Linked DNA regions of Bombyx mori. Each later gene encodes a partner of the first gene's protein in a complex. Links are inferred from orthologs where the notes say so. Each region holds a gene or a part of one and is shown in the gene's direction. Other genes may lie near its edges.

Region 1 (7,896 bases):
GTCGCTAGTTAAGAAATAAATTTGCCATTCACATGTGAAGAACAGTTATACTTAAGCAATGTACTTAGACTTTATATTTCAACACGAGCGGCGGCAGCGCTTTTACATAGTTCAATAATCGTTGAGAACCTCTGCGAAGCACGGCTCTTGCTAGGGTTCGTGTTAGCAACATCGTCAGGTTTGAGCCCCGTGAGCTCACCTACTAGCCCAGTGACGCTGACATGATCTCTCTAGACCACCAGATTAGGTAGGGAAAAAAAGTTTGAGAATCAGATTGCCAGTGAGAATCAACAAAAGGAAATCACTTCTGCAGTTATGAATGTTGATTGGGACTGACAAGTTCCCGAGAGAGATTGCTCGTTGTAAAGCAATTTACTAAACTGTATAACCGGTAGTCATTTGCGAAATTGCAGTCCACGTCGTAGATTGAAACCCTTGATTTATTTTATCTGTGGAGTAAATTGGTAAGGAGTCTTTCACCATCACAGATCAGCCATATACATTATGTATTCCAAACTTACCGAGTATGACAATTTCCTTTCCTTCATAATTCTCCTTGTTTCTCTGCATCAAAGTTTCAGTGTAAATTAGATCAGCTTCTGAGATATCTATAAATAAATAAAAGTGTAAACTTTTTTAACACACTATGGCATTTTAAAATTTAATTAATTAAGTCGATTTAATCTATTTAATTATTCATTTCCGTGAGAGACAAATCATGCCCCAATATTACGCAATATCAAGGGTGGATCAAATTATGAGAAGGGTTGAGAACAAATCTAAATAAGGATTAAGCTAGGGGAATCATTTTTTGAGATTTTATCAAGTTATTGACAACAAGTCCCCAACAGTCCAATAACTGTTCGTAAAAATGAGTTAGCAAATATATTTGTACAAAACAAGAAAAGGAAATAAAAAAAATAAAATTATAAACAGAAGAATACAAAATTTATGGAGAATTCAATATATGGGAATTTAGTATGGATTTTGATTATGATGGGATGATTATCATATTGAGATTGGAATTGTATTTAAATTTATTTTTTAGAAACTATCCTGTAATTTCATTTGATTTGGTCCTTCCCACAATCTTGATTTTGTCTAGCAGTTTAAGAAACAATGAATATAGGAGTGGGTTCCCACTAAAGCCACTTTTCCATTTTATTTTTGGGAATAAGTTTACATCTATAAATATTTATCATATTTTAGTTGTTGTTTTCGTCTGGACTTTTTTAAGTTAACTTGTGTGACACCGGAATTTCCTTCCAGTCCATTAAAAAAAACCACTGGCCAATTTTTTATGGGGTCACTTTTAAATAAACCAGACAGCTGTTTTAAGCAAAGCAATCTAATCACTTTACAGAGATTAATCAATTTTACTAATGCAAAAATTTTACTGTACACAATTTTAAAAAGTCAATTACACTTACTTTGTAAATCATCCAGCACTAACATGTTTCCTAATGACTTAGAATGAACAATTTGAACTCTTTGGAATGGAGATTCTTGATCAAATACAACTTCATCAATATCATATTCGAGGAGACGTCCATCTATAGATTTAAAATTCATAAGATAAAAAAAATATTTATGTGCCATTTAAAGTAATGCTATAAGGCTTCTTCATTGTCTTTCTGTGGTGGTGGCATTTTGTCTTTTCCTTCCTTATTTCTACCTAACTTTAAATCTGAGCACTAGACTCTGGCCTGTTGTGAGGTGGTACCATTTTCCTATTGAGAAGCAATTGTGTATTATGGTCTAAAGCAGTTATCCAGTAAGATAGCAGTTTTCAGGTAAAATCGAACCTCATACCAAGGTTATTGATTAATACCAGGTGGGCTTTGAAGTTATCAGGAGGAACTAAAGATTTTCTCGTTATGTACTCATAGTATCTTTGTTAGATTTTTAAGGAGGGTTATTTAAGGAACATAATATTGAAATTTTTTAATTTTTTTAGAAATTGAGAGCTTGCATGCACTGCTAGAAATGAATGAGTAGGAGGTATCAAAAATTATGAACGACCTGAAATTAATCAATAGAAAATTAGTGCCATTTACATACCTGAACTAGGATAATATCTACCAAACAAACATCTCTTTAGTGGAATATATGTTTGTGACTTTATACTAGAAATATATTTTTTAATTTTGCTTTCAAGTTCTTTGGCAGTCTGTGAACAAAATTGCAGATTATATTTTTATTGTTTTCAGGATTCTTTGAATGAGTTAATTGCAAATAAGTTGCCCGGTAGAGGTATAACTTCCATTAAATTAATAACTGTCCTCTACATTAAAATAAGCAAGATAGTATTACAACGACTTTGAAGGCTTGCAAATTTTTATGCAATTAAGGTAGTCCATAAAAAAATTGGTCCTTCAGTTAATGCTTAATTTTTTTTAAATTAAAATCTTAGTATTTTTAACAATGCATAGAAAAGATCATATGATAAAATGGTTAAACTATTTTTAGTACTTCTTATTTTTTCTACCGAGTTTCGCAAAGACTTTACAATAATAATATAATGTGCCAAAATAAAATAATAGCACTCAATACATTCAATCGATATAATCCTCACCTTGTGATCGATCACGGACTCCTCATTTCCGCCCTTGTAAAATTCAATATTTAAAGTAATGAAACCTCGGTCAAACATCCTAACGGATACAGTCGTTCCTTTATTACCGGTTAATAATTTCAATGAACCATCTTCCAATTTTATGTCGGTGGCTAGGATCAAATTTGGTATATATTCTTTTAATAGAGTTTCCAATTGTCCAAAGATATCTTTTTGGCCGTTTTCATCTTCCAGACGGGCCGCTTCAATCGAGAAATCCAATAAGATATTGTGAACTGACATTTTACAGTGATGTATTAAATTTTGTTTTGTTACTGTATAATCTAATTATTAACCGTCGATTAAGCCGGCAAACCAGACGACGCACACGGAGTTTTGAAACCGATCAATAATGTGAATTGCATAGATTATACACTTTGGTGAATTGTGAATTACAAATTACAATTTTATTATGAATTTATTTCCGGTCTGTGCTCGCATAGGGTTGTGCATGCCTTTTTGGCGGGAACTCGAGAAGTGAAGTTGTGTGATTTGTTTTATTTTGTCTATTTAGTGTTTCTTCAGGTGTAAATGTGTAATAACGGTGATTTATTAACTGTTTAGTATCTGAGAAAGTGCACAAATGTGGGAAAATGAAACAAAGCCGCTGAACGTAGCTTCTCGGGATCCTCCAAAAAGTCCACTGAAAAAGTCTCAGTAAATGATCACCATTTTACTGAGGTTATATTTCATCTCATTTCGTTTCATTTTCATTTCATTTCATTTGACTCCATATTATCATTTTTCATAAACATAAGAAAATAAATTAAAATAAGACTTAATGGTCTTAGTTACCAGGTCATAAAATCCCTTTAAAAAAAGAGGTTGTGCATAGATAAGGATATCATACGATGATTTCTATTAGCTAGTTCTAAATAGAGGTCAGCAGCGAAACAACTTTTCACAGCTATGCTTTGGTATATTGCTGGTAAGACAGGTGGCTACTCTGCTCAAAAGTTTTCGAATGGCAATCGCACGCTGTAAGGCGCATTGTGGGTAGGCCTTTCACAACGGTTCGAAGGACCGACCTGGTGAAGGTCACGAGATCTGCTCGACTGGTCACTGTAGCCAACTTCGGAAAAGGCCTGTGTTTATAAGGTGATGATGGAAATGCCGTGATTTAATATTTTCCATTTGCCCAAAACACGTCATTTCGGATCCTCGCGATCCACTATCGGTGCTTTTAGGCACCCCCCAGTACTGGTGACCATTCTCGTCACTCCTCTCGAATGCGACGAAGGGTTCGGCGAGCAAATTAACCCTGAGTTAATCAGCCCACTGAGTTTCTCGCCGAATCTTCTCAGTGGGTCGTGTTTCCGATCTGGTGGTAGATACTGCGAAGCACTGTTCTTAATAGGGCTAGTGTTAGCAAATTCACCAGGCTTAGCCCCGTGAACTCGCCTACTCGCTTCGTGAAGCTGGTATAATCCCATGAGATCACCAACATAGGTAGACAAAAAAATGACACCCTTAAATAAATCTAGACCATGATTAGCGCACATCCACTTTATAAAATAATAAATAATTTACGCGATTTCTGATTTGGCAACCCCGTTGACTCTGTCGCTCCTTTTCGTAGGAAATTTGCATCGTTATCCTCTCAAGATATGGCTGGAAATACTACAGAAGAAGTAGAGGTGGGTAGATGTAATTATTAAGAAAACAAAGTAATTTTCTACCTCGTTTTGCCGGTTATACAATCGTAAAACCTATAATTTTGCCGCAATTTGCTGATGTGGCTTCGTTAACTTTCACTGTTACATTTGTTAGCATAATTGTCTAGTTTTCAAGTATAAATTATAACTTTACCTCGCTCGAGTGGTTTTCTGTGTAAAAATATTCCGGATTAAGTCGTTAAACGACTTCTACGAAAATAACAATATTTTTTTTAGGTTAGGTTCACTAATAAAAATGACCTGTGTTTTTAAGGGGTCTACTACCACTGAAACGAAGACCAACAGTAACGCGGAGGTGCCCCCTGAATTTTTGATCAAGCACCCGTTACAAAACCAGTGGAGTCTCTGGTTTTACGACAATGACCGAAACAAAACATGGGAGGAGAATCTTATTGAGTTGACTACATTCGACACAGTTGAAGACTTTTGGAGGTAAAGGAAAATGCCGGTTACAGAAGTAAATTATAAATTTCATACATTTTAGAAGTACATTCATGCAACTTCTATACATTTGCAACCTAGATGAGAAAGTAAATTCTGATGGAACCTGAACTTAAACAGAATTAATTTTGCTCAAGATTAAACTAGAACACTTTCTTATAGAGCTAATTATTACGTATCTATTATAATTAATGTGATTAGTTGTCGATTTAATCATCTGTTCTTTTATTTACTTGTTATATTTTCTATAATAATAATGTATCTAACATGTAGAATGGAGTGATGGATGCCATAGGTCCATGACATATTTCCCTTTCGCGCACCAATACATCAAGTATGTTCAAAAAATCATTGAGGGGTTTTTGCACAAAAAACTTTTAAGAAATACATCAAAAATAATGAGTGACTTATGGAACCAGTGACTACTCATTGCTTACTGATAGATGTCAAATGGCAGATACAATGTGTCTGTCGTAGCCCCCTGTGCTAAACATGGTTTCTATTTTTGTCAACATGTATTCATTCATTAATTCTATAGATTCATTCCATTATAATAAGAAAATGCCAAAAATTACTCTGAGTAGTCAATTTAGTAATTAGTAGGTTTTTATTTAAGCAAAACTGTTATTGCACATTACAGATTGTACCATCATATTAAGCTACCGTCAGAACTTCGCCAAGGTCATGACTATGCAGTATTCAAGCAAGGCATTCGTCCTATGTGGGAAGACGATGCTAACAAGATGGGAGGAAGATGGCTTATCAGTCTTGAGAAAAAACAACGCTTTACTGATTTAGATAGGTTCTGGTTAGATGTGGTATGTTAAACTTTTTTATTATATACCGTTTTAGAATACTTCTTTTTTGAGTATCAAGTTTGACATAATGAAAGGAAAAGATTTTCTAAAAATATGACAAGTTTTTCTGAGCACATGTTTGTGAGTGAATATTAGCTTGATTGCACTATCCCATGTTTATAAACATTTAATAAGATGTTGTAGCTTATTTAAGATCATTGGTTTCTAAGAAACCACAAATCATGCCTCAAATAGTTAAGGCTGCCCACTCAAATCCTGTTGAATATTAGAATACAGTTACAGATAGAAACTGTATTGTAGGAAGGAGATGAAGGATCATCTCCTATCTCATTACCTACAAGCTGTATGCTTGGCTCTATGTTCTGTTGATCTTTGTTTGAAGTAATGTGGATGTGTGGAAGGATGTGACCAGTAAGCACCTACAACAAGGAACCAGAGATGTGTGTGAGATGCATTAAAATTGAAGATATTGTATTTAATTTTCAGGTTCTTCTTTTAATTGGTGAAAATTTCGAGAATTCAGATGAGATTTGTGGTGCTGTTGTTAATGTCAGACCAAAAGTAGATAAAATTGGTAAGTTTCAAAATAAAAATCTTCATTTTCTTAGTGAAATTACATAACATTCTAAGTTCTATGAATATCTAGAGGGTTTTGTTGTGTTCTTGTTAACATGAATAATAAGTAATGACATTAGCCAAGGTCATGTTGGAAAACGAGCCAAACACTAACAGAGCATCTGTTAAACAAACATAATTAGTAAATGCACAACTCACATTATAGAATTATCTAAAGTGATTTGTGAATTTAAATTGTATTATACTATGCACAAATATAAATAAATTAAACTATCTGCTGTACTGTGTTCTCTAATTATATATGCAGTAGTGCATATAATTATCTTATTATCTATGAGCACGTACAATACTGAAGTATCAAAGGAAACTGTTTATCATCACAATATGTATTAGTTTAATTTGTTTAGCTTGTAATTGATAATGATTAAAACATTATGGATCCTTATAAACCCTAAAATATCTGTAGTGCAGAGGAATAAATAAAAAAATATACAGACTGAAAGATAAAATTCATCTGAATTTGTCTCATGTCTCTTTGTTGTAGGCTTTTATACAATTACAATAATGAGAGTTTATGAGAGTCTTCGAGGTCATCTTAGTGAAAATTAGTCAAAATTAAATGTGTATTATCTTAAATGATTTATCATTTATCTTATCACATACTTATCTCCTTATGCTATATTTCATCAGAATGGGGTATGGATATTTGCACTGCCGGGGATTCCTGACATAATAACATCTAACAATGTAAATAATGTTTTATGCACAGAATTCAGTTTTAAAAACACAATTTTAAATACCCTTGCATGACACAAGGATGTTTTCCAGAGATGGTTGTTTACATAAAATGATTGTACTTGATCAAGAGTCATTTGTGATATCTTAGCAAACAAATAATGTTGGTGGACAAATAATCTGGTTGTGGTGAAGTAGAAAATAACATTACTATTTCATCTCTTCCTGCATAGTGCACTATTTTTAGTAACTTTAATTTCTCTAAATTAAACATTTCAATTTGTTAATATTTGTTTCAACAGCTATTTGGACAGCTGATGCAATGAAGCAGCATGCGACTATTGAAATTGGGAAAAAACTGAAAGAACAGCTAGGGATACACGGCAAGATTGGTTTCCAAGTACACAGAGACACAATGGTTAAGCATAGTTCTGCGACCAAGAATCTATACACTGTTTAGTTTTGGCATTACATATCTTGTTTGTATCTGCAGATTTATGGGACGGACTGTATTTAATTGAAGTAGTTTAACTTAATGGAATAAAATATATTCAGTACATCCCATAAACTGAATTTACGTAACTACAATAATAGTATAAAATTATATTTAACAGAAGTAGTATTTGTTTAGTTTTTATAGTCGTATTTATCTTACATTGTGACATGATATAGTCCTCGTGAGCTGTAGAATGTTAAAAGTCTGATTTTGTACTAAACTCAAGCTCGAGTGTCGGTATGTAAGGTCACATAGTTGTAAGTGGTTAAGTACGCTACCCGCGATGTTGGAAGATTATGAAATTATCGTGAGGAAACTGGTATAATATGTTTAACACTCATGTTGATGTTTGCACGCTTTTGTATTGTATGCGTTTAACATACACTTAATTGTTTTTTTTTCTTAAAATGTTTAAAATTATAAGTTCACAACACTGGTTTATTATCTGTGCTGAAATTTTGGTATTTATAAAAAAGTACTAAAATGAATGTAGTTTTATTTTTATATTATTTTTAATTACTTTTTTACATTAACATATTT
Region 2 (7,405 bases), on another chromosome or scaffold:
AGTTTTATTCTTTTAACATTCATTATTCCTCATGTCGCTTACAATAGAATAAAATAGTAGTCGAATTAACAAATGATAGGTGAAAAGGTTTCAAACCAGGTATGCTACTAATGATGCTCAAAATAGTCTCAACTGCTTAAGAAAAAAATACGAGTAATAAATCCCAAAAAGAATTACAAAAAAACAAGATCATAATAGTCAAACTGTTAAGTAATTGTTTGCTGAACCCCTAAAATATAAGATCTAAAACTTGACACCTGAGCCTAGACTTGAATTTTGTAGCTGTAAAGTTTGCTTAGCTTATGGGTGCTCTATTTTATAGAGCACCCATAAGCTAAGCAAACTTTACACCTAAAAATATGTCAAACAAAAAATATTTATTATGGGGGAGGGGTATGATCCAGTATGCTAACACTTTAAATTAAGTTTTAATCTGATTGTAGATAATGTGGGGAAATAGAGGCAGTGGAACTGTGATATTAGTGTTCAGTAATTGATTGATACAGTAGTTAATTTCCAAAATAATGTATTATGTTGTAGTATGTTGGAGATTAGTAGAGATAGTAGGGAGACAGATCTTGCTATTGATAGACACATTAAATTTAACCACAGTAATGAATTAATGTGACACAAAATATTTAATCTTTCTGTAGTTATGTAAAATAATGATAATTTATATTATTTATGAAGATAAAATTAAAAGTACACACAAAGTGAAATGCTATTAGTTTCCAAGTACTCTATGGTTATTTGAGGTAACATACTTGCCGGTTGTGAAACTCTTATTTTTCATTTTACCCTTTTAGTACAAAAATCATGAATCACATCAATTTAACACTTATATAAGAGATATGACTATGATATGACTAAAATATATGACTGGCTACATACATACTAGGTACTTAATAGCATCTTAGGCTACCTGTTAATAGGTTGGGGAAAAAACATGCATTTAAATTTATTGCTACTAAAGCGATTGCGAAAGCTTGATATAATTGAACAATTATTAATCTCCTTTTTGAATGGGTTAATAGAATAAATAACAATTTAGCTATCTCCTAAAAAATATGTACAAACTAATAGTACATAATATTTCAAGATTGATCATTAAAATAAGCGTTATGTAATGTGGTGAAATTTGATCAAAATTATCTATCAATAGTCTATCACTAACAACTATTTGATCTTAGAGTTATAACAACTAAAATTAGAAGACATTTAAGTTTGAAATCATAGGTGTTCTACTATGGCTACAGAGGAAAGACCGAACAACAATAGACGAAATGTCATACTGACAGTTGTTGTCAGATGTCATATCAAGGTTTCAACCAACTGTAGTGATTGATACTTGATTTAATCTGAGTTATCGATTAAACCATCGACGTCTGTGCGATTGATTTTAGCTATCGAGTTTAAATCTTCACACTTTATAATCATGTCAATAAAACATTAAATATTAATTTCATGAAACTGAGAATTAATACCTCATCTAAACTTTTTACTTTCTATCTAGCGTTTTACATTAGCAGTGAATGTCAGTTCATACATAGTTAATTGATTGGTTCACAATCTTATTAAATTAGTAGAGATTTTAAGAAGTTCGTAAATCGATTAAGAAGTATAGATACTGTTTAAAAACGAAATATGTAAATAGATTTATTGATTTATTTTTACAAATACTAAGATCGTCAAAACAGTAAAAACATAATTTAGTTTGTATTACAAGATATTGAAACATTGGCTAACTATAACTTATACTTAACTATAGACTCGACATAAGTAAATTTATTAAAATTATCTACTTATTCGATCATCACGTGGTTTCGAGCTGAATCGATTCCTACGAACTTGCGCACAGCACTAGCTGCATAATTCTTTTGCCGCATGGAAGCAAATTGAAGCAATTCAATATGGCGGCCTTTACTTCACAGTCACGTTGAGTATGGCTGCCTTTTATAAATTTTAAAACATAAGTAAATCAATCTTCGGCCAACTTATTCGGGTTAATTTAACATTTTGAGTAACATTTCAAACTAAGTACTAAAAAAAATATATACTACAAGTGTTAAGAGTGTTAAAAGTCAGACATTCTAGATCCTTGAGTGACCTTTTGGATACTTTCATTTACCATATTGCTACGTTATCGTTACGTATCCTAATTCAGTGAAGTTTTAGTAAATGATTTAAGGATCTAGGAGCTGTGATATAATTTAACTGTCAGTGCCACATAGCGAAGTCTGATATTCAGGTACAGTGCAAGAAACTCCCACGTGGAAATACCTCACGTCTCTATTTTTAGAATAGGTACTTGCTTCTTTAAAAGTGATATGCGAGATATGCGAAATCAACTGCAAAAGCTTTCTGCCATTTTATTTAACGTTTTCATATTTTGCATGTCTAAACTACTCAAAATAAAATAGACGTGAACTTATTATCATATACATTAGCTTTCGGCGTTATTTTAGATACTTGATCCTGTATCCACCGCCTCAATAACGACCACGTAATATTGACAGCTTTCGTATTAGTATACATATAAGTGTGTCATTTAACTTTGATTTACAAGTAACCTCCATTTTGTCAGACGAATTGAAAGTAATCGCTTATTCCTGTTTGATCACTTTCGTGCTTTTAAAAGAAGTTGGTTTCGTATGTCTACTTTTGAAATAGAAAATTTAAATTCAAATGCAACAGTACAACTAAATAATTTAAAGTTTGACCACTAACACACCATGGATACTAATAAAATTAGAAACTAACAGGTAACAGATTTAAAAAAAATCAACATGTGGTCTTTTAAACTGTCACTATGTACTTTTTAGCAAGAAAACGATCTAATTGTAATTTATAGAAATCAAAAATGGCAAAGTAAATAAAAAGTATATTTTTGTTGTATAATATTTAACATAAAAAAAAAATTTAATTAGATTATTTATATTATTATATTTACACTGTTTGTGATTGATAAATGTTTCGAAGTTTTACAAAGGCCAAGCTAGTGTTTCCCTAGATGTTTTATGTTGTAAACAGAAAATTCTCTCTACTATTCTAATGCTCTACAAATGTGATATGACATATTATAAGTAGGCACTGTAGCCTTGATTGAAGTGTCCACAAGTTCCAGTAAGATCCATACCACTTATGCCCTAAGTTGTCTTCTCCTTATACCACTAGGTTACTAAGCTGTAATATGCCTATTATTAGCAAAAACTGTAATTGTAATTTTAATCTAAATTTGTTATAAACAGTAACAAAGTTGTGCTAGTAGTACTTCTAATATTGACATTAAAACACATTTTGCAGTGATTAGTTCAGTTGATAGTTTATCAAATACTACCAACCCTCCAACTAGTCAAAAAATTATAAGTGAAGAATCAACGAAAAACATAGAAATTGTTAATAAAATTATCAACCAAGAAACTGAAACTACAGTTGTTGAACCTAAAACTGAGGTGTTAACGAATAAAACGAAGACTCACATTGATAATACTAATCCTAAAATAACTCAAGAGCCTTTATCAAGTTTTGAAAATATTATTAAAATACCAGGCTCTGAACTTGATAACAAAGAAACATCCAGTGCATTTGATGCTCAGACAAAGTTGACCCAAAGTATATCAAGTGTTTTACGGGTCCAACAACAATCTGACTGTAAAATGAAAGATATTAATCTTAATAGTAAGGCTACAGGTATGTAAATTAATTTTATTTCTGCTAATCTAGCCAATAATTAAATTGTAGGATATGTGTAATCTAAATAATATGTTAACTTTATTAACAGATCCTGACAAAGCTAATGGAAATACTACTGAACCTTTAAGCGAAACTACTAAAGAAGACCTGAATAAAAATGATAAAGCCTTAAAAAATCAAAAGAATAATAACAAAAAATCAAAGAAAATGGCCAATAATAACAAAGAATCAGAGTCCTATGAAAATGGTAAAGATGAGACTGATAAAGTAGTTAATATAGAAGACACCTTGAATGAGGAGTCTGAAGCTAAACCAACAACTGAGAAAATTGAGGCTCCACCAGCACAACCTGTATTTATTCCTAAATACAAGTATAGTGAAGGTCAGTAATTCTCTTCACTAATAATGAATTTAGTGAAAACTAATTAATGCATTGACCACAAATTCATTAATTTTTAGATCAATGGTCTCCTCTGAATAAATCTGGAAAGAAATGTTATGATATTGATTTTTTGAAACAAATAAAGGAAGATCCTCTGTCCAAAAACAAACCAGAGGCTCCGTTGTTGGAAGCTTGCAATGTCATACGAGTAAGTAATTTTCAGAGTATTCATGAAAAGGCATCAAATGCAAACTATCACATAACTTGATGACACACGTTTTTACACAGACTACACCAATGTTGGAACCCCTGCCTTTTGCTAATATTTCAAGACCATCAAGTGATAATTTCTTCCCCTTTGGTAAGAGTTCTGGCTTGGGTTCAAGAAGCAATACTCCTCGTGATATAAAGAGAGAAGGTAGAAATATGACACCAAGTGGTAAGTTATTTAAAATAATTATGCTGAATACATACTAAGCGAATGAAGAGAATCAAATACAAACAAATTAAAATCCATACGTTTGGACAATTTAGCAGTAGCGAATTCATAATTTTTGTAGTCTGATCTAAGGGATAGCACCAGTTCTCTTACAGTATTTGTATCCAGTAATGAGGAACTAATTGGGTTCAAATCTGTAGGCTATGAATTTTTAAAAGAGAACATGTCTTAAATATTTTCACAAAGAATTCCAGAAAGAATATGTAATAAAATCTTACTTTTAAAATTAGTAAACATTGTGTATTTCTTGGTCATTGTATTCTAAGCATACAGCAATAGTAGGTATATTATCCTATCTATGCCGCAAAGCTGACATGTATTCTAATTTGAAGGTTGGGACAACCGTGATACAATATCATTGAGACTGACCTCATGTTCTGATGTGGATTGTGGCAAATATGGTGATGTTTATGTGTTTTAGTAGCCACTTTCACAGTGAGCTTGTTAAACATTGTCAAGATCATTAGATGCGGTGAGCTCTACAGCATGTCTTTTCAAAATAATTGAAAGCAAACTAATTAATGTTAAAATATATTTTGTAATAATAAGATTGAAAACAATAGTGATGAATATGGGAAAACACATAACTTTCATGTTTTTATCATGATGCTGTGTGATTTAATCACAAAACTCCCGGAAAAAAAATGTTTTGTATCTATTGGCGAAATGCGACATCCACTAGTATGTAATTATTTGTATTCATTCGCTTGGTGTGTATCCTCCGTTAAAAGCCTAGTCTTTGTTGAAACTAAATACAAATTAACGAAGGAAACATTTTTATAGGACGTGGAAGCATGAAATTACCTGCTACAGCTAGTGGTAGCAATCCCCACAAACCTGTTATTCATGTTTGTCTAAATGATGATGTGAAATTAAATGAGTCTGATTCTGCTTGGCGACCTACTAGATATGTTAGAGCAGAAAATGCAGATGAAGAAGAAGTGAAAACGCAGGTATTAATTAGTCACCAATTCACATATTATGGAAATTTAATAATGCACTAATCAAATACCTTTTTTTAATTTTATTAGCCTAACTTCAATCGAGGTTTTCTTTTTTTTATTACTTATATCTAAAGAAAAAACCGTCATTTCTACATGATCAAATGAAGTTTTTAATAACTGACTTTGAATATTCTAGTTCCACTGTGACCATATGAATGTGTTTTTATAAAATACTGTGGTCTGTACTGGGACTTTGAACAGGGATTTTGAAAAATTCATAAGCATTGTGTGCATAATTTTAGTGACATGTCAAATTTTATTAATATACAGTAGATCTTGAGGCGCTCTTCTATCTAATTCTTGTTATAATTTGGTCAATTACAAGGCTTAGCAAGGTTGTTTCAATGATATTCCAAACTTTGACAGGTTGACGTTTTTAAGGTTTACTTTTATTATGGCAGGGTTGTTATTGATTCTTTTATTAGTATTATACCATAGTGTATTTACAATTTGAGTACTTTTGAATGTAATCTTTGAGGAATTATAATTTTAAAGAATGTTAGCACACCTACAGTTGAACATTATCACAGCCCAAACCCACTTTTGAGAACAGCCTTTCTATTGAGAAGTTGGTAACTTGTTGGCCCGTAAGACACTTGGTGCCTATGTCCCCTAGTTTCTTTATTATATGAATGTAATACTATTTTTTGTCACTGTCACCTTTCTGAGCTAAACCAGATAATACTCCTTTTGCATGTGGTCAAAATTGGCACTAATGTTTTGCAGTATTGTCTAAAAAAAATAAGTGTCCTTTTCATGTTGTATTATTTTAATATTAAAATAAAAGTTATACAAATATATTTAAATATCAAACATAATCTACAATGCCATAAGCATAACCGAAAATGGGTTGCTAAATGTTTTATGAAAATTGTTATTATGTTTATTGACCTGTAAAGCTCTATGTAAGTATATTGTAGAGCTCTATGTAAGTATATATGAGTCGTCTATGATCAAAGGTGGCAATCTGTGCATTTGGACAAAAAAAAATTATTGATATTTCAATACAGATTTGAATATAATCGTCTCCTTCAAAGAATACTGTTCAAAACCTGCATTAAATAAAGGTTAATACTTAACCTGTTATTTATCTAAGATGTCGTTCAGAAGAGTTTTGTGACTACCAATGGAATATAAAGTCAATAATTCGTTTTTCTGATTTACCAATAATTATCCAAAAGTCACATTGCCGGCTTTGATAATAGTCGACTCATATGACATGTTTAAAAAAAAATTAAAACATGGCCTGTAAAATACCATTTATGCATGCTACTTGTTTAATTACTTTTAGTATTAACATCTCAGTAACATTTGCAATTGTCACACATAAAAATGTCATGGCTGACTAAAGAAGATATGTGCCAAAAAATTGCATTCACATGAAACTTTTAGGATATTCACAAGCCACTAATCATATAATAAATAGCTTATCCAGTAATACCATAACTTCCTTGAGTTTATTTTAACTTATATAATGAAATTATATGTTTTATTCATTTACATAAAACTAATTAACCCTTATAAATAATAATTCAATATATAATTTTAGGAACTATATAAGAAATTCCGAGGGATTTTGAATAAGTTAACACCCCAGAAATTCGACACTTTACTGGATAAAGTGAAAGCTCTTGATATTAACAACCAAAAACGACTCGAAGGAGTTATTGATTTGGTATTTGAAAAAGCAATTGAAGAGCCTAATTTTTCCAAAGCTTATGCTGCCATGTGCCATAAGCTGTCCAAACTGAAGGTAAGAGAGCGAAATTTTTTTTTGTTAAGATCTAATCCATTTAATACTAATGAGAAACAAATTACAGGTTCCTG

Evidence for each region.
Region 2: the proteins of mRNA cap-binding protein eIF4E (region 1) and eukaryotic translation initiation factor 4 gamma 3 are in contact, whole or in part, in a crystal structure (PDB 5T48), measured with the Drosophila melanogaster proteins. The link is inferred for Bombyx mori from reciprocal best matches to the Drosophila melanogaster genes eIF4E1 and eIF4G1. Residues at the interface, in NP_001261626.1 of Drosophila melanogaster: Lys80, His81, Pro82, Leu83, Met84, Val113, Trp117, Tyr120, Asn121, Leu174, Asp175, Leu178, Ile181, Gly182, Glu183, Ala184; in NP_001137857.1 of Drosophila melanogaster: Tyr605, Trp610, Pro612, Lys619, Gln620, Tyr621, Arg623, Leu626, Leu627, Leu629, Arg630.

The regions. Positions count from the first base shown.
Region 1 is NC_085128.1:2,389,458-2,397,353, forward strand, and holds mRNA cap-binding protein eIF4E, read left to right. Parts: upstream 1-3,814; 5' UTR 3,815-4,221; coding exon 4,222-4,251; intron 4,252-4,543; coding exon 4,544-4,722; intron 4,723-5,371; coding exon 5,372-5,549; intron 5,550-6,035; coding exon 6,036-6,123; intron 6,124-7,162; coding exon 7,163-7,320; 3' UTR 7,321-7,718; downstream 7,719-7,896. Other genes in the region: spermine synthase, read right to left, coding at 522-608, 1,431-1,553, 2,062-2,170, 2,576-2,857. UniProt on the Drosophila melanogaster protein: Recognizes and binds the 7-methylguanosine (m7G)-containing mRNA cap during an early step in the initiation of protein synthesis and facilitates ribosome binding by inducing the unwinding of the mRNAs secondary structures.
Region 2 is NC_085107.1:10,291,636-10,299,040, reverse strand, and holds part of eukaryotic translation initiation factor 4 gamma 3, read left to right. Parts: intron 1-3,303; coding exon 3,304-3,690; intron 3,691-3,781; coding exon 3,782-4,075; intron 4,076-4,152; coding exon 4,153-4,283; intron 4,284-4,363; coding exon 4,364-4,514; intron 4,515-5,357; coding exon 5,358-5,527; intron 5,528-7,127; coding exon 7,128-7,331; intron 7,332-7,398; coding exon 7,399-7,405.